7 linked regions of the Kluyveromyces lactis genome follow. The main gene of each other region encodes a partner of the protein of the gene in region 2 in a complex. Links are inferred from orthologs where the notes say so. Each region holds a gene or a part of one and is shown on either strand. Other genes may lie near its edges. The genes, in order: SAP30, UME6, RXT3, RPD3, SDS3, KLLA0_E19933g and ASH1.

Region 1 (2,326 bases), on a different chromosome or scaffold from region 2:
GCAATATAACCGGCAATAGCCAAAATGATAAATAATGTGAAACTTTGATCCGCCATGATTAAAGTTTTAATTCAGATACTCTATCTAACACAATAATTTCTGTCTGCTCTCAATATATTGCTGTGATATTAATTATTCTGGAGACAGGAAAACACAGTATGCCTGGTTATGGAGCAAATACTTGTCTTGTTACAGTTTTTACTTGTGAATGATAATTAATATCATTCATTTCTTATTAAAGAGAAAAATTGTGTAAACGACCTGTAAAGGAAAAAAATGTTAAAGAGCAGAAGGACGTGTGTACAGCTTGCTGTGCAATCTGTCCTTTTCACTGCAGTGCATATAATCAGCGTATAGAACGCTAGTTCCAAATAGATTTCCGTTGATATCCTTGATTATTACGTTCTATATTATTCATATATGTTACAAATAGATGAAGCCATTAGGCTGATGTCGAATTACATGCCCAAGATGGAAGTGAGCTATGCAACACCACCGCTTCATCCCTTAAACTCCATTCTGAACTTCTTTTTCTGATTTTGTACTTTGTAAATAAACTGAGGAAGGCATTCCGCTTCTCGAACGGTATAGTTATCGAAGTGTTCCCTGACACCTTTCGCAAGCTCCTGCTTCGTAACCCTTGCATCTGGTACATTTTTCTGGTTTCGTTTCGCCGAGTAAGTATGTTTCCCAATCCTTGATCCTAGAAGGTACCCTTGTATTGATAGATTATCTGGAGATTTCAATTGGAACCTATCCTTATACCGCCTTAAAAATTCATCGGAGTATTGTTCGAAATCCATCGGATTTGGGAGCGGCTCATTCTTCGGATGATTGTTATGTATATGTTTCTTGTTCAAGTCCTTCAAGTATTGCTGTTGAGCACTCGAGAGTCTTTGTTTCACACTGGTCCTGGTCGATGCACCTGAAGTTGCATTGTTCGATGATTTGCCCTTAGATTCGGACTCTGAATTTGAGTTATTGTGTCCCCTTGGTGCCATGTCGTGTAAGATCCTTGTGACTGTACAGCACCCACTCTATTTGACACCTGAGATGGTATGGAGCAGTACATGGTAATGCCCTTTACCACCTGGACAAATGTTCAAAAAGATCAAAATTTTGTACTTAAGACACTTTTTTTTCTTAGATAAGTGGGAATAACTTGGAATTAGATATAGAGGATGACTACATTAAACAAAGAACATACATGCAGTCCCTGCGTCTCATCTCATTTACGTAAGAATCTATTGAAGTTTTGTAATACCGTGTCCATCGCCTTAGTCCTGGAAATGCCGTGAGCTCTTGAAATGGCGTCAAGAACGGAATCTAGCATCTGTCGTTGCTCTTGCGACGACACTGAATCCACAGAACAATCTGTCTCTGTCAAAATACACTGCAAGGGCAAACTCTTCAACAGCTCAGCACCAGAATCCCAGTCTTTCAAGTTGATCCAACACGAAACGCTAAAGAAAAGCCGTTCATGTGGGAAATTCGCCAGCCATAGCCGCACCGTATCCAATGTCCCAGTAAACGAGTGCAAACATATGTTCACCTCGCTATCCAATAATATTCTCTTGCAAATATCAAAAGTAGTACCTTGACATTTCACAGAATGGATCGAAACCGGCAACCCCCTTCCCTTTGCAACTTTTAATAACGTTTCAAATACCTGGATCTGATGTGCAAACTCTACCCTTACATTGCTTAAACTACTTCTTTCCAACGATGTCCCATTATTGCTCACGAGAAAGCCATTCTGAGGCAACCGAAAAACCTTGTCCAATCCGATCTCGCCAATACAACCCACACGAGAAACCCGCTCATCTGACAAGTAACTTGACAAATCTACTGGATCCGGCAATTGCTCTACCAATTCCATCAACTGTACCTCGTCTTTACATTTAAGACAATTCCTATAATGCCCTACCTTAGAAAGCGACCTATCTAACTGATATAAATGGCAATACCAGGGATGCACACCAAGACTAACATTGATTCCGGGACCTTCATCATCCAGTTGTTTCATTAGCAGCAGGGGCTCCAGTAATTCCCAGTCGTACACATTCGTGCTCATGACACACCGTTGGACATCACTTGCCGTTCCGGCAAGGGCCAGGTCCAAATTGCTTCTGATCTTATCGCATCCTACAGCATCCACCATAGTAGACACATGGCAATGTGCATCGACAAGACATGGAACCATTCTTGCCCCACAAAACCAAGCCCAATTACCACTCACCTGATAGCAGACTGGAACCCTAATTCCATAGCAATTGCCTTAATTGTCCCAATTCACCAATATGTTCCAAAGGTATACTTTTTGAAT
Region 2 (4,100 bases):
GTAATCAACGACAAAGTGTTCTTACATTACAATATCAGTTACGAATGGGGATTCGCAATCGGATTTAGTTTCGCATTCTGGGCAGGCGTTGAATTATACAAATATGGTAAGAGACATTACTTCGGCATCAAGGACAGAGTCGACAATCCAGAAAATGATTTAGAAAAGAGAGCAGTGCACGATCCGTTCGAACAATACACTACTTCCTTCTCCAGAATGAATACTTTTCACAACGACGAGAAGACTATCTGAAAGTTGAAAAGATGCAGGAATAAGCGGTGCTTTTTAATTATTTTTAATCTACAACTTATCTGGAACAAATGTATATTAGCAAATCCATATGATAAGTATCATCAATAATTTAATTTTTATAAATACCATACTACATTAACAAAAGTAGTTTATCTCACTTTAGATCGATTTTACTCTAGTTTCCCGTCAAAACTCTTTATATTTGGCCTGAATCGATTAAGACTTTGGGCCCAAAAGTTACTAAGCCGGAACAACTGATTATGACCGGGTAATACATGGTCTTTACTCTTTTCAAATCTTTTTCTCCCTTTCCAGCGTGTAAAATAGTTTCAAGACAATTTTCGTCAAGCGATACGCCCAATGGATAAGAAAAGTCAAAAACAGTCAAAAATTATTCCCACGGGTAATTAAAGAAACCCACCATCTTAGCGGGCTACATATGTAATCAGCTACTGTATAACAGCAGTGCACCTTACAAACTTCAGATATCCTACTAAAAACAAAAAACCGAGAAGCAAAGCAAGGTCAATGAGCTTGCTTAGATGGCTAGTACCATTGCCGTTCCCTTTTTTCTTCCCTTTTCTCCCTTCTGATTCGTTTTCTGCGCTTGTTTTCCTGTAGTTTTTCGCTCAAAAAAAGGCAAAAAAACGCCTAATTGAATCTCGTTCGAAAATCACATCCAAGGCGTTGTTTATTTATTTATATAAATCGAATTTTACAAATGTTTGATTTCTCTTACTTGTTTTAGTTTATTGTAATATACTCTACTTTATTTTTTTATTCTTTATGAATGCTTACATTCATTGAAACCGCGATCCTCTATGAATTGACAGGCTTCTGGTTCAATCTCTCTTACTAATTACGAACCCGCTCATTCCGTAGCTCCTGGCTTAATACCTGATTGTGTTTAGTTTCAAGAGTCTTATAAGGGGGTGAGGAGAGAATCGGTTTTTTTTTAACTCAAGAGTAACACAAACTCTTGGCGCTAAGCGCTGGCCTGAAACTTAGACTGAAGTTTTCTTCAAATATAAAAGAACCTTCGGAATAGATGGTTCGTCAGAAAAGTCAAATTGAGCGGCGTGCTGTGAACTCTGTTCGTTTATCCTCCTCTTCTCCGTTATCTTCCAAAATGCATGTGCCGGAGAAAAGTACCCCGCCAAGTTACCCTGACGAACATTCAAAAACAAACGCCGCCCAAGTGGAGCTAACCGCCCAGCGGGAAGTGACCAAAATTGATGAAAAACAAGAAAACGAAAAACAACAACGAGTGAAAACAGGTGAAAAACAAACGCTGCTGCGACATACACCAAGGCTCAACCCCTTGATACATTTAGCGATGTCTCCTACTGCTGCTCCGAATAATACGCCTGTGGAGGAAAACGATCTACAACAGGGTGTTATCTCTCCTTCACGTGGAGAGCCTTCCGGGATTCCAGGGACAAAGCCTCAAACCGAGGTTTTGCCGCCACTTCCTCGTTACGGAGAGACTAAGCAAGAGGAAAAGGAGGTTGCCGTGAAATTTGAGAAAAAAACGGGTACCCAAGACTTTGATCACGTGGTTTCGGCTGATAAACAACATGTTCCAAAAATAAATACGCGTACACCATCTATCTGTATATCCAGTAGCAATACGCTGCCGAACACTGGGAAAGGGAGTAGCACCTTATATCAAGACTCGCGCACTCCCGTGTATTTGTTCAACGATAGGATAGACTCTGGTCAAGTGAGTGAAACAGAAACACTTCACGATTCAAGAAAGGGCGAGGAAATTCAAGCTGATACTGGTAGTCATCAAAATGAACGCATGCTGCGACAAAGCGGACATAGACTCGAAGGCAAAAAGGGCAATGGCAGAAACATTGGTAATCCTGGAACTGTTTCACATGACGGTGCGAGCGGTATTGCTGCGCCTTCATCTTCGCCGATCCTTGAGACCTCGAGCGCTTCCCGTGATAGAGATCTGCATGCCACAGGAAGCGCCATGACTCCAAAAAGACTACATTTTGATTGTTCCACAGAGAAAATAGATCCGGGTGCAGGCATCTCATCAATTTCAGCTCAAAAGATCAATATTACTTCATTACTAAACTCGAGATCGACAGCAGAATCAATCTCGCCCCCTCCATCTACGGCAGGAAATGAATACACTATTCATTTCCCATCCTCAGCAGCGTCAAATCCTCCTCACTCCACAGGATCCTTCCTACATCCAAAATATCAAAATCAAAACCCGCAGGTCTCATCTACCATGAATAGAATTGTTTCTCCAACCTATATGTTCGAAACCGATCAGGTTCATGGTCCTTTCAGTAATTCTAGTAGTGGCAGTAATAGTAGTGGCAGTAATAACGGTAGCACAGCAAACAGTAATAACAATAATACACATATTACCTACCAACCGAAGTATTTCAACACAAAATTCGATGAGTTAAGGAATAGAGTGTTATTAGGATCCTCAAACGCTTTTCCGAAAGTAGAGTCGGCTAACAAGTATCCATATAATAGCACAATGGTCAACCCAACTTTGAATGATCAAGATTCCAACGTGGATGCGGAAGCTGCCGCAATCATTTCTCAGATGAGGTCTTCCCCATTACCCCCATTTAACGAACAGTTCGGCTCTGGCAATCATGATAGCCGACCGAATTCGTCATTATCAAACCAATCTCTCCAAAATAATGCCTTTAATCCGTTCTCCAAAAGACTTTTACCTAAGCCAGTGCTTCGGGTTAACCAACGACCATTGACTGGCAACCAGGATGAACTCGTTATAATGGAAGAAGAGGATGATGATGATGACGGGTATGGCGATGGTGATTACGAAATGACCGAAGGGGGATCAAAGGCACCAGAAACTGTTGCATGGAATAAGAATGGAAAAAGAAGATTGTCCAGAAGAAGATCAGGCCCACCACATTATCAATCTCAATTGACAGGAATTAAAAATGAGATTGGAGACCATCCAGATACTACGGCATACCCCGCTGCGGATATCTCGGAAAATGGTATGCATATAAAAAGATCAAGGTCTTCATCATTATCTACTGAACACACTGGATTATTGTCACCGAATTCCAAACATGCCAAACAACTGAAGTTTAAAGAATCTAATTACAATAATGATGTTTCTAACGAGCAAATGGTCAAATCAAGTGATCAAATAAAGAAAAGAAATGCTACGGGGGCACGGTCAAGAACTGGCTGCTGGATCTGTAGATTGCGTAAGAAGAAATGTACAGAAGAGAAACCGCAATGCCAGAACTGCGTGAGGTTGCACCTCGAATGCTTTTACGACATAGTAAAACCCGATTTTATTTCAGATCCTGCTAAAAAGGCAGCAAAACTCGAAGAAATTAAAAAGAAAACAAAAGAAGCTAAGAGACAAGCAATGAAAAAGAAGACTTGGTTATAATCAAAGAGACAATCATCTCTAAATTCTTCTCAGACACACATCTGTATCATCAGGTGTTCTCAGTTTTTTTACAATAATGGACAACCCCTCAAAACTCTATAGATACCATTTTTGACTGAACTTTTATGATTATGTTCACCTCCCAATATATAATATACTCAGATATATTTGCTGTAATAAATGTGTAGACTGACTTTAATATACAATGTATGAATTGTACGTATTTTAAGCACAAAGCTTAGGGAATAGTATGGAAATGATTTCAAAAGACAACGTAGTTCAATATTTAAACTTTATGCTGCTTTCAAAGGAGGATTGAGATGATATGAGGATCAACAAAATAAAATAAGATAAAATAAAAGAACATACAAAATATAGACACATACATTACAACCAAAATTTGGAATAATTAAGATAAAATTTAAAAAAGTGTCGT
Region 3 (2,910 bases), on a different chromosome or scaffold from region 2:
AGTAAAAAATTGGATCTCATATTATTCGAATTACCAAATGGTGGGAGCAATTGGAAAATACCTGTTCAAGATACTGTACTGTTAAGATGTTGGAAAAAAAAAGGAACATTGATCATAAGTAAAATACAGTGCGTATTCACCGATAATGTCGTCTCTTAATCGCCTGTTTCACTCGGATAAAAATCAATCATCAATATTCAAATTATTTCACATTGATAAACAAATAACCCATCTTTTCAACATTATATTCCAGAAACAAACTTAGCGTTTTCACAAGGACGTATAGCATGGTGTATATTTTCTCCACATTCTAATGATATCAAAATAAACTAAATAGACTTCATCTCCGGTCTTTAATATCCACATATTCTCCCAAAGTATCTCCATTGTGTGCAAACTTACATGCAATGTTGCATTCAAATACAGTATATGATCTTTAAACTCCCCTTCTCATTGCTCTTATCCACTTTGGTATCTATTGTGTAATTTCACTTCGAAATTTTGTTTCATCATTGGTAAAAGCTAACATACTCTTTTGTGCATGTTGATGGTGTATTCACGAGTAACGACGTCTTTCAAACCGGCCATTTTGTATTCGATAGTTCCTCAGTGTACTGCTTCGTTCTTCTCTATTAAGAACCAACACACAAATCAAATAAACAGTATCGTAAACGCCTATTAACATTCAGAAACCTCTAATTTCACCACTTACAATATAGCTTATTTCTCAGTATCCAAATAATATTTCATCGAAAATCAACACTTTCTCTCTGGTACTGGAGGGAATAGACTAGGCACTAGGCTGGAGCAAGGCAGCCAGTGGTGGGTGAAACGCCTAGTATGTCCAAACCTGGCTGGGTGGCTGCCCAGGCTGGTTCCAGTAGACGGAGGAATGCCTGCACTCTGGACAAGGAATGGTTGCCGGCTGGGGTGTAGAGCTAGAAAGGTGAATTGGCATCCTAGGCAGAGTGGGTAAACCTGTCATCGGAGGCCGCCGGGCGTTGTCAAGCGAGGTTCCTCAGGCCTGTATCATTGCTTCCCACACACAACATGTCCTAGAAATGTTTGTGTCATTCGAAGTGCGAAATGCGGAATGAAAGTTTCCTATTATAGAAAATGAAAACATAAAACTATTTTACATCAGAGTGCACGGATGTTACAGTGGAACAAATGAAGCCTCACGAATGTACGGATGTTATAACAGTCCCGTATATAGACTATTATGGTCAAACTGGTGATGAATGTTGTTAATGAAAGAATCTCCATCTGTACATCGAATACACAGTGAATTCATAATATAAATCGAGAGAAATTTACTCCTGAGCAGGGTCGATTGATACATTATTACAAGCTGAGAACTTCGCAGTGGCTCAATTGATTAGTTGCCGATTGTATAGCTGGTAAAACTTTGATTTATTCAACAGCTTTCAGCCACTGTTTGAATATGAGTGATGAGTTGTACAGAAAAACCCAAAACAGGATATACAGCATGCAAGAGACACTGCTGAATAGTTCTAGGGAGTCCAAACAGGCCCGAGATCAGGATACGGGTAAAATCGGATCATCATCATCAGAAGAAGCAGTTGCTGCACCGGCTAATACACAGAATGTTGCAGATGAAAGTTCCCAAACAGGGGAACCTGAAAACAACACTACCCTTGAAACTGCAGCTCCAGACAGCAAACCTGAAGATGACGAAGACGAAATAGACGTAAACTCTAAATCTGTCCTTGAATATACAGAGAAGAATTACGCACTACAGCGGCGCCCTTTGGCCACCTTGGAGTACGACTCCATGAGAGTTGGTGTTTTTCCTGGGGATCCGAAATTGGAAGCCCTTCCATTCCCTTATAATTTCAAGACCATCAGATCTCCGAGACCTTTTATTCCAAGGATGTCTCATAACCATATCAACTCAATCCTTACAATACAGATCGATTCCATATATTTACAACAAGTGGCCCGTAGTGAGAACATACGGTACCAAAACCGAGAGATATGGGGCACAGATATATATACCGACGATTCGGATATTATATTAGTACTTCAACACTGTGGAGTTTTGCCATTTTCTGAACCATTGGATCAAAACAGCAATGGCAAGCCATCCAATGTTCACTCTTTGAAAACTAAATTGAGAAGAACTCCTACAAATATGTCGGACCAAAATAGTGTGACAGGAGCAATCCCAGAACGTGAAATTCCATTTGCGATCAAAGTGGACATCCTAATGTTACCACCTCTTCAAGGTTATGCGTCATCCACGAGAAATAATATCACATCCAGAGAATGGACAGGGCAAGTCCATGACGGTTTGTCGTTCGGAATTTTCCATGTTGATATTGTGGTGATGGACAACACATTAAATGAGATACAACAATCTGACAAGACTAAGTCACTAAAGTGGTAACGCTGCATCAAGAAAAAGGCCAGCAGCCGGTATCTTCCGTCCCCCAATATATTTTCTTTCGTCATGTGTCTCGTACAAGTGACGAGAAAGTTGACTTAAATCGGTTATGTGCAAGCCGTGCGTACTGCATCGATGCGTGCCGAAAAGAATATGTACATTTGTATATGTAAAAGCGTTGTGTATAGATTACTCAACAATGTAATATCATAATAATAACTACCATTATCTCCACTGCCATGCAAACCTTCTAAACATAGAGGTCTGATATATATGCTATTTTATACGTCCCTGCAACCTTCTTTTAAATTGGTTGAAGGTTCCTTCTATTCTTTTAGTGACATTCAATAAGATTAATAATTGGGAAAAAGATTTGAAAAGACCGACCATAAGAGAAGTGTTCGAGACGTTAACGGCTACAAAGTGACCCATAAGACCCTGAATCTTGTTTCTTGGTATACTTAAAGATTAGGTTAGAGTAAGGGTCTCACTGATTCTAACTT
Region 4 (3,243 bases), on a different chromosome or scaffold from region 2:
ACCTTTAACAGCCATTGCAAAATTTACTAACTGTGATTTGAATGTTTAGATACAACGTATCTACTATCAGATAATATATATCTCTATATGAAATAGGATAAGCTTTATTCTTGTGTAATCGACCTATCTGATCTTAACTTTTAAATATCCATTCGCTTCTGGATTTTCATTTTTTGATCTTTTTCATATATAGATTTGTTACTGACAACCGAAGTGCAGATGTAAGTCATATCTGAACTGGAATAGTATTACGTGGAAAATTATGGCAAATACCGATACTGACGGAGGGAAAACACGATAGAAAATTGACCTCATTAGATCAATTCTAACTTGGGCACCAATCTGTATATTCAGCATCATATTAACCGTCGGATGAATGACATATAACAGTGATTAGGTGAGTGACGATAAAACCTGTAGCAAATGCGGAAGAGTACTTCTAAGTGTAAATATATTATAATACAGTAAATAATAAAAGATCATCTGTTTTTGTTTTCTGGCTAAAATTCGGTTGCATTCTCAATGGTTATGTCTCTTGCATACTGAGAACCTCCTCTAGTGTCCTTCGCAGCTGCAGTATCTTCTTCGGCGTCACCTTTGTCCTCCGCATCGCGAGGAACGTGATTGAGTTGAACGCTTGGGGCATATTTAGTATGCTCTAGATTGCTGAAAATATTAAGTAGCACTTTATCCAAATACTCCGGTGTATTGACGTTATACATATTAGATGGTCTGACATCCAATTTGTAATCAGGGCCATAATATTCGTAGTAATCGTTGTAAGGAAGTTCTTCATCCAAAATCACATTATTCAGAATACCCGTTTCGAAAGCCCATGTACGAGCCACGTTTCGCATTGTATAACCACCACCACCAACAATCATGAGAGGAACACCGAACGATTTCATGTAGTTGACACAGTTTGCGTGACCCTTCATTGAAAGGTTGAAACAACCTAAACGATCGCCGGATAAAGAGTCACCACCGCATTGGAGTACCACGGCAGAAGGTTGGTACCATTCCATAATTTTACCTATGACTGGTTCAAATACCGATTTGTAAGTGGCATCGTCAATACCGTCCCTTAATGGGACATTCACAGCATAGTATTTACCTTTCCCGACACCAGTATCTCTCAATTCACCAGTACCTGGGAAGAATTCCCCATATTTATGGAAAGAACATGTCATAACTCGATCCGTAGTATAAAAAGCTTCTTCTACACCATCACCGTGATGCACATCAATATCAATATAAAGAACACGAGGATGGTACCTTAACAACTCGATGATACCTAGCACTATATCGTTCAAGTAACAGAACCCTGAAGCTTCCGATTTTTTGGCATGATGTAAACCACCAGCATAGTTAATGGCAACATCACATTTGCCTCGGTTTAATCTGGCTGCACCCTCCATAGAACCACCTCCAGATATACTACAGTACTCGTACAAACCATCAAACACAGGACAATCGTCTCCAACGTTGAATTTCACACTCTCCTTTTGGAACATATCTAAATTATCTGGAGTGACTCGAGACAAGAAATCAATATATTCATCGGTATGGAACTGACACATCTCCTGTTTCGTTGCAGGTTTAGCCCTGTAAATTTCCATCTTCTTATACAAACCGTAATTCATAATCAACGAATGTGTCATTCTTATTCTATGTGGTTTCATAGGATGTCCTGCACCATAAGCATAGTTTCCCACATCAGCATCATAAAAGTATGCAACTCGCTTCTTCTCGTTAGCCTTCACCGTTATCGGGTCAAAAGGTTTAGCTTCGTATACCATACCGTCCACGCACAATTAATCTTAATAGTTTCGCTAAGTTGGAGAGCCGGTACAAATTTTTCACCTCTTGTTTATATAGCTTTCTTGGTATGTTTTCGACATAAATCAAGGTTTTAATAGAAATCACTACCTTCATTTTTCACCGTCTCCATCAATATAGAATTTCCAAGCAGCTAAAGAAAGAAGAAAAGCCTTAAAGAGATCTGTCATGTTACACGAGTTGAAGAAGATTAAGAAGTAGACCAACTTTTTACTGACCAGATCATCCTGCATGGATGAGTTAATATATTTGTTATATATGATTTATAATAATATTCGATATGATTACTTATTAACGATCATTGAGATTCGAAACTACTCTTTAATCTCAAGTAATGTCTTAATTCATCCTCAGAAACACTTGGTATTAGATTCTGTTGAGCAAGCTCGAAGTCTTGTAATTTTACCACGACCTTCAAGTCATTCTCGTTTGCCACGTTATCAAACCAATACCTCAATGATATATTCTTTTTATTTTCCATGTTATACTTCTCCCACTTTTCATCAACTTCACCAGCAACTCTAGTCATAGCGTTTAAAAGGGCATCAGAACACAATGCGTAGAAATCTGCACCTGTATAGTTGAACGGACATTTTTTGGCAATATCTAGTATATCGATACCAGATTCTAGTGTGAACTTTCTCGTCAAAGCCTTGATGATATTTGCCTGTTTTTTATCGGTATCTGATATCCCCAAATATAACATCTTGTCAAACCTACCGGGACGTAATAATGCTTCATCAAGAAGATCTGGCCTATTCGTAGCTCCAATTACGAACACTCCGTCTCCTCCTGAACTCATTCCGTCTAGTTCTGCCAAAAGTTGAGACACAATACGATCCATAACACCCCCAGAATCTCCCTGATTTCCTCTCTTTGGTGCCACGGAATCAAGTTCATCGAAAAAAATGACACATGGCTTAGCATCTCTTGCTTTCTGGAAGACACGTCTAACATTTGCCTCGGATTCACCAATGTACATGTTAAGAAGTTCAGGCCCTTTAACACTGAAAAAATTTAAAGAGAAGTTAGACGCAATTGCCTTCGCTAACAAGGTTTTACCAGTCCCAGGAGGTCCATAGAAAAGAATACCACTTCTCTTTTTCATACCAGATGAAAATAGTTCAGGGTGCTTGAGTGGCATATCTATGGTATCCATGATTTCTCCTTTGACCACATCCATCCCACCAATATCATCCCAAGTCACGTTAGGAATTTTAGGAGCTCCGATAGAGTCTGAGAATCTATCTCTTGCAATATTTATGACTGCAGTTATATCGGTCATATCAATTAGAAGGTCGTTCTGCTTTAGACGTTGGTAACATTTGTACTTGACAGCTTTGACGATTGATCGTATATCCATTGGAGTCAAACCAGCCGATTGAACAGATACTGTCTGCAATG
Region 5 (2,610 bases), on a different chromosome or scaffold from region 2:
TACACCAACACAAATTAGAAGTGCAATTGTTATCACTATCAGTAGCTTTCTGGTTCTATTCCTCATGAGATAAGATGGAAACTATCAGTAATCATGCAAAAAAAAGTGGAAAAGATGAATGTGTACGTCCCAATAGTTGAAGATGAAAGAATGAGGTTTTATACTAATATTCTTGGTACTTTAATCGACTGTTGAGTTTATGTTTATAAATGGATCGCGTATTGCGCATAAATCATCGTCAATAGATAACTGAAATATCAAAATTCAGATTCTGTTCACTTTTTTGTGCATACATTAAAAAATACGCAGTATTATAAAGTAGTAGTATTACACATGAGATACACTAAAAATACAAGGTATAAGACTGACAATAACGGATAGTATTTGGGACCTAAGCAGTTTGGGAAATATTGGATGACAGAAAAAAAAAACTGGTAACATTTTAGTTTCTTCACTTGTACCCCAGACCAGATTTACAAGATAAATCCAACTATTGATATTCATTTGAATGGGGCTGGTACTTGGCCCGTTAGCTTTCTTATCAAAGATATATCATCAGTAACCTCATCCGGAGTTAAAGATTGAAGAATAGGAGCGCTTTTTGTCGAAAGTCTTTGGTGACCTCGACCCATCTTCTTTTCCTTTTCCTTTTCCTTTCCGAACAATAAAGCCTGTAATTCTGATGAATCGCTCAGATATTGCATCGACTCTGCATCGCTATTAGTATTGCTTGATTTCCCGCTTCCGTTTGCAGGTGTAATGTTTGCAGGAGTTTGAGCTCTATTCTGATTAGTAGCAGCACGCCTACGCAATGACCTCCTATCGGTAGTATTACCAGTCTCATTGCCACTTTCTGTTTGGCTGACATCGTTCGGTGACGAATCCCAAGCCGAAAAATTGGCTGAATTTTGAGTTGAGCTTCTAGTCTGCTTCTGGAATTTCCCTCGAGAATAATCCATCGAATAAGACTGTGTGTTTGCTACATCCAGAAGTAGCCGTTCCTCTTGCAATTTCTTGATAGTTTTCTGTAGGGATTCATACAACATCTCTTTGCACAATTTGATCATCCTTTCATGTTCTTGCTTGGCTTTTTCAATATCTTCTTGGAACTCTACTTTGGACCTGTAAATCCGGTACTCTTCGAAAAGCCTGAGCCTAACTAATTCCAAATCCCTATCTTCTTCAAGATCCCTCAATTTCCTCAGAAATTCAGGGTTATTCCCCTGATGCAGCGTCGTTAAATCTGTCTGTAACAGAGTCAACCTATCCCTATAATGCACATCTTTATCCTTTGCAAACGACGTTCTTATCTTTCCCACTTTCCCTTCAAACTGTAATCGCTTCTTATCCTTCCTACTCAAATCCTGCCCAACACCTGCGGGAATAGCACCCCCATTCTGTTTCGCTCCTTGACCTTTCTTCACACCGCTGCTCATCATAGAATATTGTACTTCATCCATGTTCCTCGGGGGGAGAAGCTGTATTTACTGCAAAAGCTGATATAATTGTTAAAGTGAAACCAGAAAAACTCTCCGGTATCGTTTCTTACCAATTATCCTGTGAAATTACTAACACAGAATAAAAAATTACAATTGAAAACGTTAACACAACGAGTTAATGTGCTGCTCGTTACATGTATCGTGCAACGTATGAGCTGGGTACAAATTATGTACAAATTATGTATAAAGTATGTACAAAGTACAACTGCTTAAGCTGCTCTGATTTAAAAAAAAAAAAAAAAAAATAATAATAATCAAATGAGACAAACAAGAAAATGCCATGCTTCTGCCGTTCGAACCTCAATGCTCCCATAACACTGATTTATTCATTGCAAGTATCACCATTTTCTTTTTTAAATTTTTTATGTTCCGTTTTCCATCTCATTTCCCCGCAGAAAAGTCGCAGCTTCAGATAAGAAAAGCTTAAAGCTGGCCGGTATAAGTGCAGGCTTTAAGTGTGTTGAAAGTTTTTAAAGGCTTTGAACTTTTGGCAATTTTGGTAAAGAAAAGGGAAAATTCCCAAAAAAAAAAAAAGTAAGTTAAGTTATAATATAATGACGATGTGATTTTTTTTTTGTTAGGTGAATAGAAGTGAAATAGTGAGACTAATTCAGAGATAAAACAGTGGTACGCAGCCTGTGATACACATCAGTGTTGTGTGTTATTAGTACAGATAAATCGCTGAATTTTGCGGTGCTTTGAACTACCCCTAATATTCTAATACTTTAAATTTCGACGTTATAAGTGTGTCGATTTTATAAAGCTCTTCTTTTCAGTCTTTCCAGTTCATAGGAAAGAAAGAACAGAGAACAGAGTTTTCGAAAAACATATTGGTTTCCCCTTTGGATATAATATTACCTGACTTTGAGACTTGTATTCCGAGTTGTTTTTGTTGTTTTTTTTTTTGACTGAGAGAACAGTATGGATATTGACGATTATTTGAATGTCGATAGTCCCAGTGACATCGGTGCGAATGTACTGTTAAATCCGGAAGATTCTGACAATTCTCGAGGGTCGAAGGTTGCGCCTGGTTTCAATGCGATGAATAATAGTAGGAAATGTGGTGTCAAGCTGTCTGACTTCGGTGGTGATATACTGTCAGGTTTTAAGG
Region 6 (3,394 bases), on a different chromosome or scaffold from region 2:
CTTTGAACATGTGATCAGAGATATTGAACCCAATGTCAAAGTACCTTATCTGTTTCAAACCTGTCATCTTCTGAAGTGCTCTGGACATATACAGTGTAGAAGCTGTTTCACAGTGATATACAATGGCCATAATGAACCGAAAATATGCCAAACAAACAGGAAGTCCTTTTATCGTTCTGAAGTGGGATGAGTTGCATATCCTCTTGCGCATCGTGAGATGGCTTGTACAGAATTTTCGAGTGTTACCCGGATGTAAGGTTAAGCTCCACTCTGTGACTCAAGTCCGCATGGAAACATTCACAGACCGTACATGCCACACGATGTCCAAAAATATCGTGTAATGGGTATCTTCCGAAGCCTATCCAATGGCCTACCAACGCACTTATCACCTCCCGGAGTGCATCCCCCTACCTCCCATAAGCTTATTTTGACACATTCTACACACTACTGCAATAGCTTTCCGAAGGCGTAGACTAACGCACCAGTCCCAAACCAACCGGGGAACCCCATTTGCAAGAAGTACACAGACGAAAAAAACAAAAAAAGACACGTGAACGGTAAGATACAGGACCCTCACTCAGTATACTCACATCACATCTCATCTCTTCTCATCTCACCTGTCACCTCATCTCATCGCTGTCACACTGAAAAAATTCGAAATTTTTTTTTTTTCCAACTCATCGCGACGAAGAAAAAGCCACTAAACTCGACCTCATCGAGTCTTGTCATTTAACTTGACACTCTTTGTTTCCTAGGCAGAAACCTGTCTTTATTGGTTCAGTACTCAGTCTGACCTCAGTGATATCGACTCAGAGCATAACTGTCAATACGTTAGTTTATTGTTAGCCGATTTTGGAAGGAATTTAAGGCGATTTTTTGTTGTTTAAAAAGAAAAATCGTTCATAAACTACTGTCGGTTTTATTTTGGACCGTTCAAAATTTTTATTCCCTCTCGTTGTGTTAATGAGAACAGGTCTTTGAGCTAGAGAATTAGAGCTATTAGAAAGCTGTTACTGTCGTTTTGATTACATTTCGAAAATTTTTGAGCTGAATTTTGGTTTTACTGCTCTAAATAGTGGATTTTGTTTTGGTTGCTGATACTTTACAATTATAACTCACAATATTTTTAAGTGAAAGGGTAGATGACTGCACCAAAAAACGTTTCCAGTAGGACTCCGAGTTCGTGGGAACCTCAGGACGATGTCTTGTTGCGACACTTGAAAGAGGTGAAAAGACTGGGATGGAAGGATATTGCTCAGTATTTTACGAATAGAACTCCTAACGCGTGCCAATTTCGGTGGAGAAGGTTAAAATCTGGCAGTTTAAAGACGGTGAAGTCGCCAGAGGAGGAGGATGAGGAGGAGGATGAGTTGTTAAATGTGACTGTTCCAGTACTTGCTCCAATGGCTGTTTCTGCAGGACCTACGTTGAGCGCGGAATCTTTAAACACTGGGTCCTCTTCGACGGCGAAGAAGAATACGGCAAAGAAGTCTAGTTCTACGGGACCGATGCCCATGCCCATGCCAATTCCGACCTCAAAAGTTACCAATAGTGCCGTTCTTTCGTCACCTCATGGGTTGAATGGTAGTGGGAGTGCTACTAATAATAACAATAGCAACATGGGTGTTTTTTCGTCATCTGCTGCTACAGCTGGATCTAGTGTCCTATCGGTAAACGGACTTGCACATTCCGGATCGTTGTCCAAGTCTCCGTTCTCTACTGCTTCTCCTGCTCCTCATGGGAAATTTATAAAGCCCAGGTCTTCCTCTCATTCACAGGACGCCCCACCAAATATGCCCCATTTCAATGATCAAGAGGAAAATTTTGGTTTTATTCCAAAAGTCTTCATCAAGAGTAGACGTGGTTCCGCGGTCGTTGTGAATAACACTCCACAATCGAACTTGCCAAACCTGGCCAGTACGAAATCAAGGAAAAATTCCTTCTCCTCGCGCTCCAGACGTTCCTCTTTCAACGTAGCATCCGACAGGCATTTCATCCCAATGTCTTCTAACGGATCTTCTAGAAGATCTTCCGTTGTTGTCATGCCTTCATCAACTTTGCCCGCATCTTCCGCGAATCCAAGGAGAGAAAGCTTCACGACGAATCCATCTATGTCTAGAAGGAACTCTGTCTCTCAGTTTAGACGTGAGTCTATGCAAGCAGGTTTCATTGATATGCCCATAAAACAAAGCTCTCAACCCCCTCCTTCATCCGTATGTGCCGTTGGATCATTCAATGGCTTTGCAAAACCTTGGTCTGGCGATGAGGATAAGTTGTTGGTAGAAAAACGTCAAAGGTACCACTTGTCCATTGATGAGCTTTCAATCTTGTTACCTCATAGATCAGAACAAGAGATCCAATGGAGAATGGATTCGTTACATATAACGCCTAGCGATGCAGTTAGTACTGCTAGTCCTTCCGCCAATGTTAATCAATCGAGTTCTTCAGATGAGGTCCACTCTACTTACTCACCAGATACTGCCGTAGAGGAGCATGACGACATTGACGATGTTGATGTTGATGTAGAGATTGTTGGCCGCATGGAAGACTCTATTGCCCCAACTCAGCTAAGAGATGAATCTCCTACGTTTTCTCAAACATCTTCGACTGGTTCTTCCGCTCGTGAGAGATCGCCAGTGTTTTCACCGGACGCTCATTCCTTGAGAGACCATTCTCCAACTATTTCTGATGTGAACAACTCATCTTTTTATGGCAATAGGATGCCTGCCAGCGTACCGAAGCAAATTCTTCAAACACAGGCTAGTAATGAACAAACGCCCCAGTTCACTCCGAATTCATCGCAATCTCCTCAACCACCACAAAACCATCGACTACCGCAAGTGCCAACTCAGCCACTGCCTAGTTTGAATACGATATTCAAGCACATTGTTTGATGATAAACTGTCTGTATTAATACCATTATCAAGAACCAAAAACTTAAAAAACTACTTTACAAACCACTTTCAGACATGTATGAACATGAACCCCGAAGTGTATCGTGGCGCCAGTCGCTGCTACTTCAATCATCATTGTCGTTGATTTACTATCACATAAACGCACACACTTTCCTGATTATGACCCCATTGTACAAGTACTATAACTACAATAGAACATCAATAATACTGTTACAGTGTTATCTTTATGCCAAATCATTTGAACTGTACCATATGGTTATTTTTTGTCATAATAATGTCCCTATTCAGTTTATTATAGCAAAGGGACACGGGCTGCTCCTTTTGCATAAACACTTAAATGAAAAGTGCGTACTATTACGTTGTTTTGTTATTTACATTTTACTGCTATATCAATGATGGCATTAATTTTCGCTATTCTTACAATCATATACATATATACATGCATATATTAGATATTACACTATTATCAGTTTTCTTCT
Region 7 (3,024 bases), on a different chromosome or scaffold from region 2:
TTGATAATATCAGTTGATGATGCTTTAAAGAGATTTGCTGATTTTTATTGAAGGCTTTGATAACGTTTACCTTAATACTATTAATTTCAACATCGATCAAAAATTTTATTATTAAATCTATGGAAAGAAGTCTTCTTCTCTCCAAATTTCATCTTGGGTAAATTCAATTGACTAGCTTCATCAAATGCGGGTAACAAACAATATATGTACGCGTTGTAATTTCCTTGATGATTTTAGGTAGACCCTGATTTCAAAATCTCTCAAATGAACACATGCAAACACAACTCTAAATGCTGATCGACTCGAGCAAATATCTAGCGTACATATTGTAGAGTCGGATTTTTCTTTTCCTTATGTCTCTTTTGCCAGCACTTTTGTCAAGCTGCCTCGCGCACTAGTATTCTTTTTTTTTTAAATTCTATTTTCTGCTTGCATATGTGAAGAAAGTGTAAACATGAAAAACCCAGCATCGAAATGTAAATCCATAATACCAGCCGAACAGATACCAAGACTTGGTGTGGAAAAATAAACATAAACAGAGATCTGAAAGCTAAGTGAACATCGCTGCGCGATTCCATTACATGATATATGATTTTGTAAACAATGGTTGACTAGTTTTGATCAATTTTATAGCCGGTAAGAGAAAAAGAAGTATATCTTTTGTCTTTCCCTTTAGTTTTGCAGGCATAGAACAAGTATGAATTCTTTTGCCAAATCGAAAAAAATTCGGTAAACCCTCTGCGGGTTTGGCGCAGGTATTCTTTGTTTACACTTTTTTCTGTTTCATCGATATATGGATTCCTACTAAGTTTGCGGGACTGAACTGATTGAAATTGGTTCAGTATCCCTAGAGTATATAAACCAGAATCCAAATCTGGGTTTCCATGGGACAATTCTTTCAGATCGATTGGAAAGATAATCCCCTTATTTTTACTGAATTAGGTATCGTGGTTGATATATGACAGTTCTAGCTAATCCTTATAAGGCCTGATATATTTCTTCACTCTTCAAACACTGGTCCTGACAACTGTGTTACACATCAATAATTTACTTCAATTAACACCGTAACTTGTTCCCCATTATAGAGCATCGAATCAGCTCATTTCCCATCGCTTCGACCTTTTCACTATTCAAGCTAACGATGTCCACTATTTCGAACCCTTTACCATTCACCAATCCTCACGCCGAGCAAAAGTTCTACGCAAGAAGAAAAAGATCCTTTGATGATCTATTATTGCCATCTTTAAGTACCAGTTTGAACGCCCCAATGACATTAGAAGAATCGCCATATTTCTTTGACGCCCGGAAAAAATCTAAAACGGCGCCAGCCTCACCTTCTGGATTCGTACAAATCACGCCTACTACATCACCAGTGTCCGCTTCATCTAATTCTTCCATATGGAGACAGACAGTATGTGAGGGAAGCAGCATTAGCAGCAACAGCAGTAACAATATTGGAAAATCAACTCAACTGCCTTCCTGTTCACAACTACAGAATGAGGTTGCGCAACCCTCGCAACCAGCACTACAACCATTAAAGCATCTAAAGTTATTGGCACATCCTAAAATACAAGAGTTTTCGTACCTCTATCCAGACACTTGTGCCTCCACGCCTCTATGGAGGCAAAACTTAACAGAGTGGTGTAAGGAAACTAATTACACTCAGTACCAAAACATTACAGATCAGGTATCTCAAGCTAATCCAAGAGCTGGTAATTTTACTCATGGATTAAATATTTTAGCCGATGCTGCTAGAATATCATCGATCAATACTTCACCAGATGAATTCTATCAACTTTCAAACACTTCAAGCTCCAGCAAAGTACTGGTAACCCCACCAAGTAGTCCTCCCAGACAATTCACTTCTATGATCAGCGAATCATTAGTTAAAGCGGTAAAGAAGAACCGTTCCTCAAAACATAAGAAGACCAACAGTTTTAAAGCAAGAAAACTGAAGAAGATGCTGGATCAACGCATATTGCTTACATATGAAGACAAATTCGAATCACAAAAGTCGGTATTTAAGGCTAATCCTGCACCACCAAAGACCCCTCCACAAAAGAAGATTACACTATCCACAACTCCAAAATCTCTTCAATCTCCCCAACAGAGATTTCATCCTATTGTGATCAACAGCGTGGAGGATTTCGGCGAAAAGACTTCGGCGAACTCCAACTCAGAAGACGACACCGACCAAGAGCTAGTCCAAACATCTCCCAAAAGCTCTCCAACACAAAGGCGTAACTCTCATAGATTTTGCGTTTCATGTCACATTACAGATTCCCCGTGTTGGAGACCTTCTTGGTCTAAAAGCAAACAAGATCAGCTTTGTAATTCTTGTGGGCTCCGTTATAAGAAGACCCATACAAGATGCACCAATGAAACTTGCCGTAAAATACCTTCAAAAGGTGAATTGACACTTATGAAATCAAACAAGCCAGTTTCGATTGAGGACGCTGACGGAAATACTGATTACAAAATAGCATGTTTGTTCTGCGGTCACGCCGTTGCTACTGACGAATAGGGCAGAAAAGCCTGATAAAAAAACCAACCTTCCTTGCATAATTAACTGATCCCAACTTTCAACGGAGCTTTTTACCTTCTAATATTGCATTTATAAATACTTACTTCTCTTTTCCCTTGTTTGTCCGGATAATATTTCCACTATTCCCTTTCCCTTCAATTCTAACTAATTTGATTAATATAATGATATAATCTAAACATATATTCTTCCTATAATTTATCTAATGTAGCGTAAATTAATATTTTCACACTTCTGATCTTTGAGCATCAATATCATAGGTTGATATTGATGACTGGCACTTAGTAGCTGCTTCAGACCTCTTCATAAAGTGAATGATTTTTTCTTTCTTTTCATTAATATGCCATTTACGTCAAGATCGATGTATGTTCGCTATCTGAAAATGAAAAAAAAAAAAAAAAAAAAAAAAAAAAACTTCATCAAAAATATAAATAACTGGAACCGTCAATATCTCATCACTTGCTTTCGTTTTGCTTTAATAT

What was found.
Region 1: UME6 (region 2) and SAP30 share a complex: the UniProt entries of both Saccharomyces cerevisiae proteins name them as parts of the RPD3C(L) complex. The link is inferred for Kluyveromyces lactis from reciprocal best matches to the Saccharomyces cerevisiae genes UME6 and SAP30.
Region 3: UME6 (region 2) and RXT3 share a complex: the UniProt entries of both Saccharomyces cerevisiae proteins name them as parts of the RPD3C(L) complex. The link is inferred for Kluyveromyces lactis from reciprocal best matches to the Saccharomyces cerevisiae genes UME6 and RXT3.
Region 4: UME6 (region 2) and RPD3 share a complex: the UniProt entries of both Saccharomyces cerevisiae proteins name them as parts of the RPD3C(L) complex. The link is inferred for Kluyveromyces lactis from reciprocal best matches to the Saccharomyces cerevisiae genes UME6 and RPD3.
Region 5: UME6 (region 2) and SDS3 share a complex: the UniProt entries of both Saccharomyces cerevisiae proteins name them as parts of the RPD3C(L) complex. The link is inferred for Kluyveromyces lactis from reciprocal best matches to the Saccharomyces cerevisiae genes UME6 and SDS3.
Region 6: UME6 (region 2) and KLLA0_E19933g share a complex: the UniProt entries of both Saccharomyces cerevisiae proteins name them as parts of the RPD3C(L) complex. The link is inferred for Kluyveromyces lactis from reciprocal best matches to the Saccharomyces cerevisiae genes UME6 and DOT6.
Region 7: UME6 (region 2) and ASH1 share a complex: the UniProt entries of both Saccharomyces cerevisiae proteins name them as parts of the RPD3C(L) complex. The link is inferred for Kluyveromyces lactis from reciprocal best matches to the Saccharomyces cerevisiae genes UME6 and ASH1.

Annotation. Positions count from the first base shown.
Region 1 is NC_006041.1:986,123-988,448, forward strand, and holds SAP30 (Sap30p), read right to left. Parts: upstream 1,002-2,326; coding exon 501-1,001; downstream 1-500. Other genes in the region: CUE1 (Cue1p), read right to left, coding at 1-56; KLLA0_E11243g (putative endodeoxyribonuclease), read right to left, coding at 1,229-2,203. UniProt on the Saccharomyces cerevisiae protein: Component of the RPD3C(L) histone deacetylase complex (HDAC) responsible for the deacetylation of lysine residues on the N-terminal part of the core histones (H2A, H2B, H3 and H4).
Region 2 is NC_006042.1:1,922,848-1,926,947, forward strand, and holds UME6 (DNA-binding transcriptional regulator UME6), read left to right. Parts: upstream 1-1,300; coding exon 1,301-3,664; downstream 3,665-4,100. Other genes in the region: KLLA0_F20658g (uncharacterized protein), read left to right, coding at 1-252. UniProt on the Saccharomyces cerevisiae protein: Component of the RPD3C(L) histone deacetylase complex (HDAC) responsible for the deacetylation of lysine residues on the N-terminal part of the core histones (H2A, H2B, H3 and H4).
Region 3 is NC_006038.1:261,955-264,864, reverse strand, and holds RXT3 (Rxt3p), read left to right. Parts: upstream 1-1,444; coding exon 1,445-2,410; downstream 2,411-2,910. Other genes in the region: RPL31B (60S ribosomal protein eL31), read right to left, coding at 532-588. UniProt on the Saccharomyces cerevisiae protein: Component of the RPD3C(L) histone deacetylase complex (HDAC) responsible for the deacetylation of lysine residues on the N-terminal part of the core histones (H2A, H2B, H3 and H4).
Region 4 is NC_006041.1:185,677-188,919, forward strand, and holds RPD3 (histone deacetylase RPD3), read right to left. Parts: upstream 1,800-3,243; coding exon 501-1,799; downstream 1-500. Other genes in the region: lumazine synthase RIB4, read right to left, coding at 1-15; PEX6 (AAA family ATPase peroxin 6), read right to left, coding at 2,138-3,243. UniProt on the Saccharomyces cerevisiae protein: Catalytic component of the RPD3 histone deacetylase (HDAC) complexes RPD3C(L) and RPD3C(S) responsible for the deacetylation of lysine residues on the N-terminal part of the core histones (H2A, H2B, H3 and H4).
Region 5 is NC_006041.1:774,585-777,194, forward strand, and holds SDS3 (Sds3p), read right to left. Parts: upstream 1,461-2,610; coding exon 501-1,460; downstream 1-500. Other genes in the region: KTR5 (putative mannosyltransferase), read right to left, coding at 1-66; DNA-binding transcription factor CRZ1, read left to right, coding at 2,421-2,610. UniProt on the Saccharomyces cerevisiae protein: Component of the RPD3C(L) histone deacetylase complex (HDAC) responsible for the deacetylation of lysine residues on the N-terminal part of the core histones (H2A, H2B, H3 and H4).
Region 6 is NC_006041.1:1,774,034-1,777,427, reverse strand, and holds KLLA0_E19933g (SANT/Myb-like DNA-binding domain-containing protein), read left to right. Parts: upstream 1-1,142; coding exon 1,143-2,894; downstream 2,895-3,394. Other genes in the region: KLLA0_E19955g (3'-5'-exodeoxyribonuclease), read right to left, coding at 1-211. UniProt on the Saccharomyces cerevisiae protein: Component of the RPD3 histone deacetylase complex RPD3C(L) responsible for the deacetylation of lysine residues on the N-terminal part of the core histones (H2A, H2B, H3 and H4).
Region 7 is NC_006038.1:232,412-235,435, forward strand, and holds ASH1 (DNA-binding transcription repressor ASH1), read left to right. Parts: upstream 1-1,141; coding exon 1,142-2,524; downstream 2,525-3,024. UniProt on the Saccharomyces cerevisiae protein: Component of the RPD3C(L) histone deacetylase complex (HDAC). Responsible for the deacetylation of lysine residues on the N-terminal part of the core histones (H2A, H2B, H3 and H4).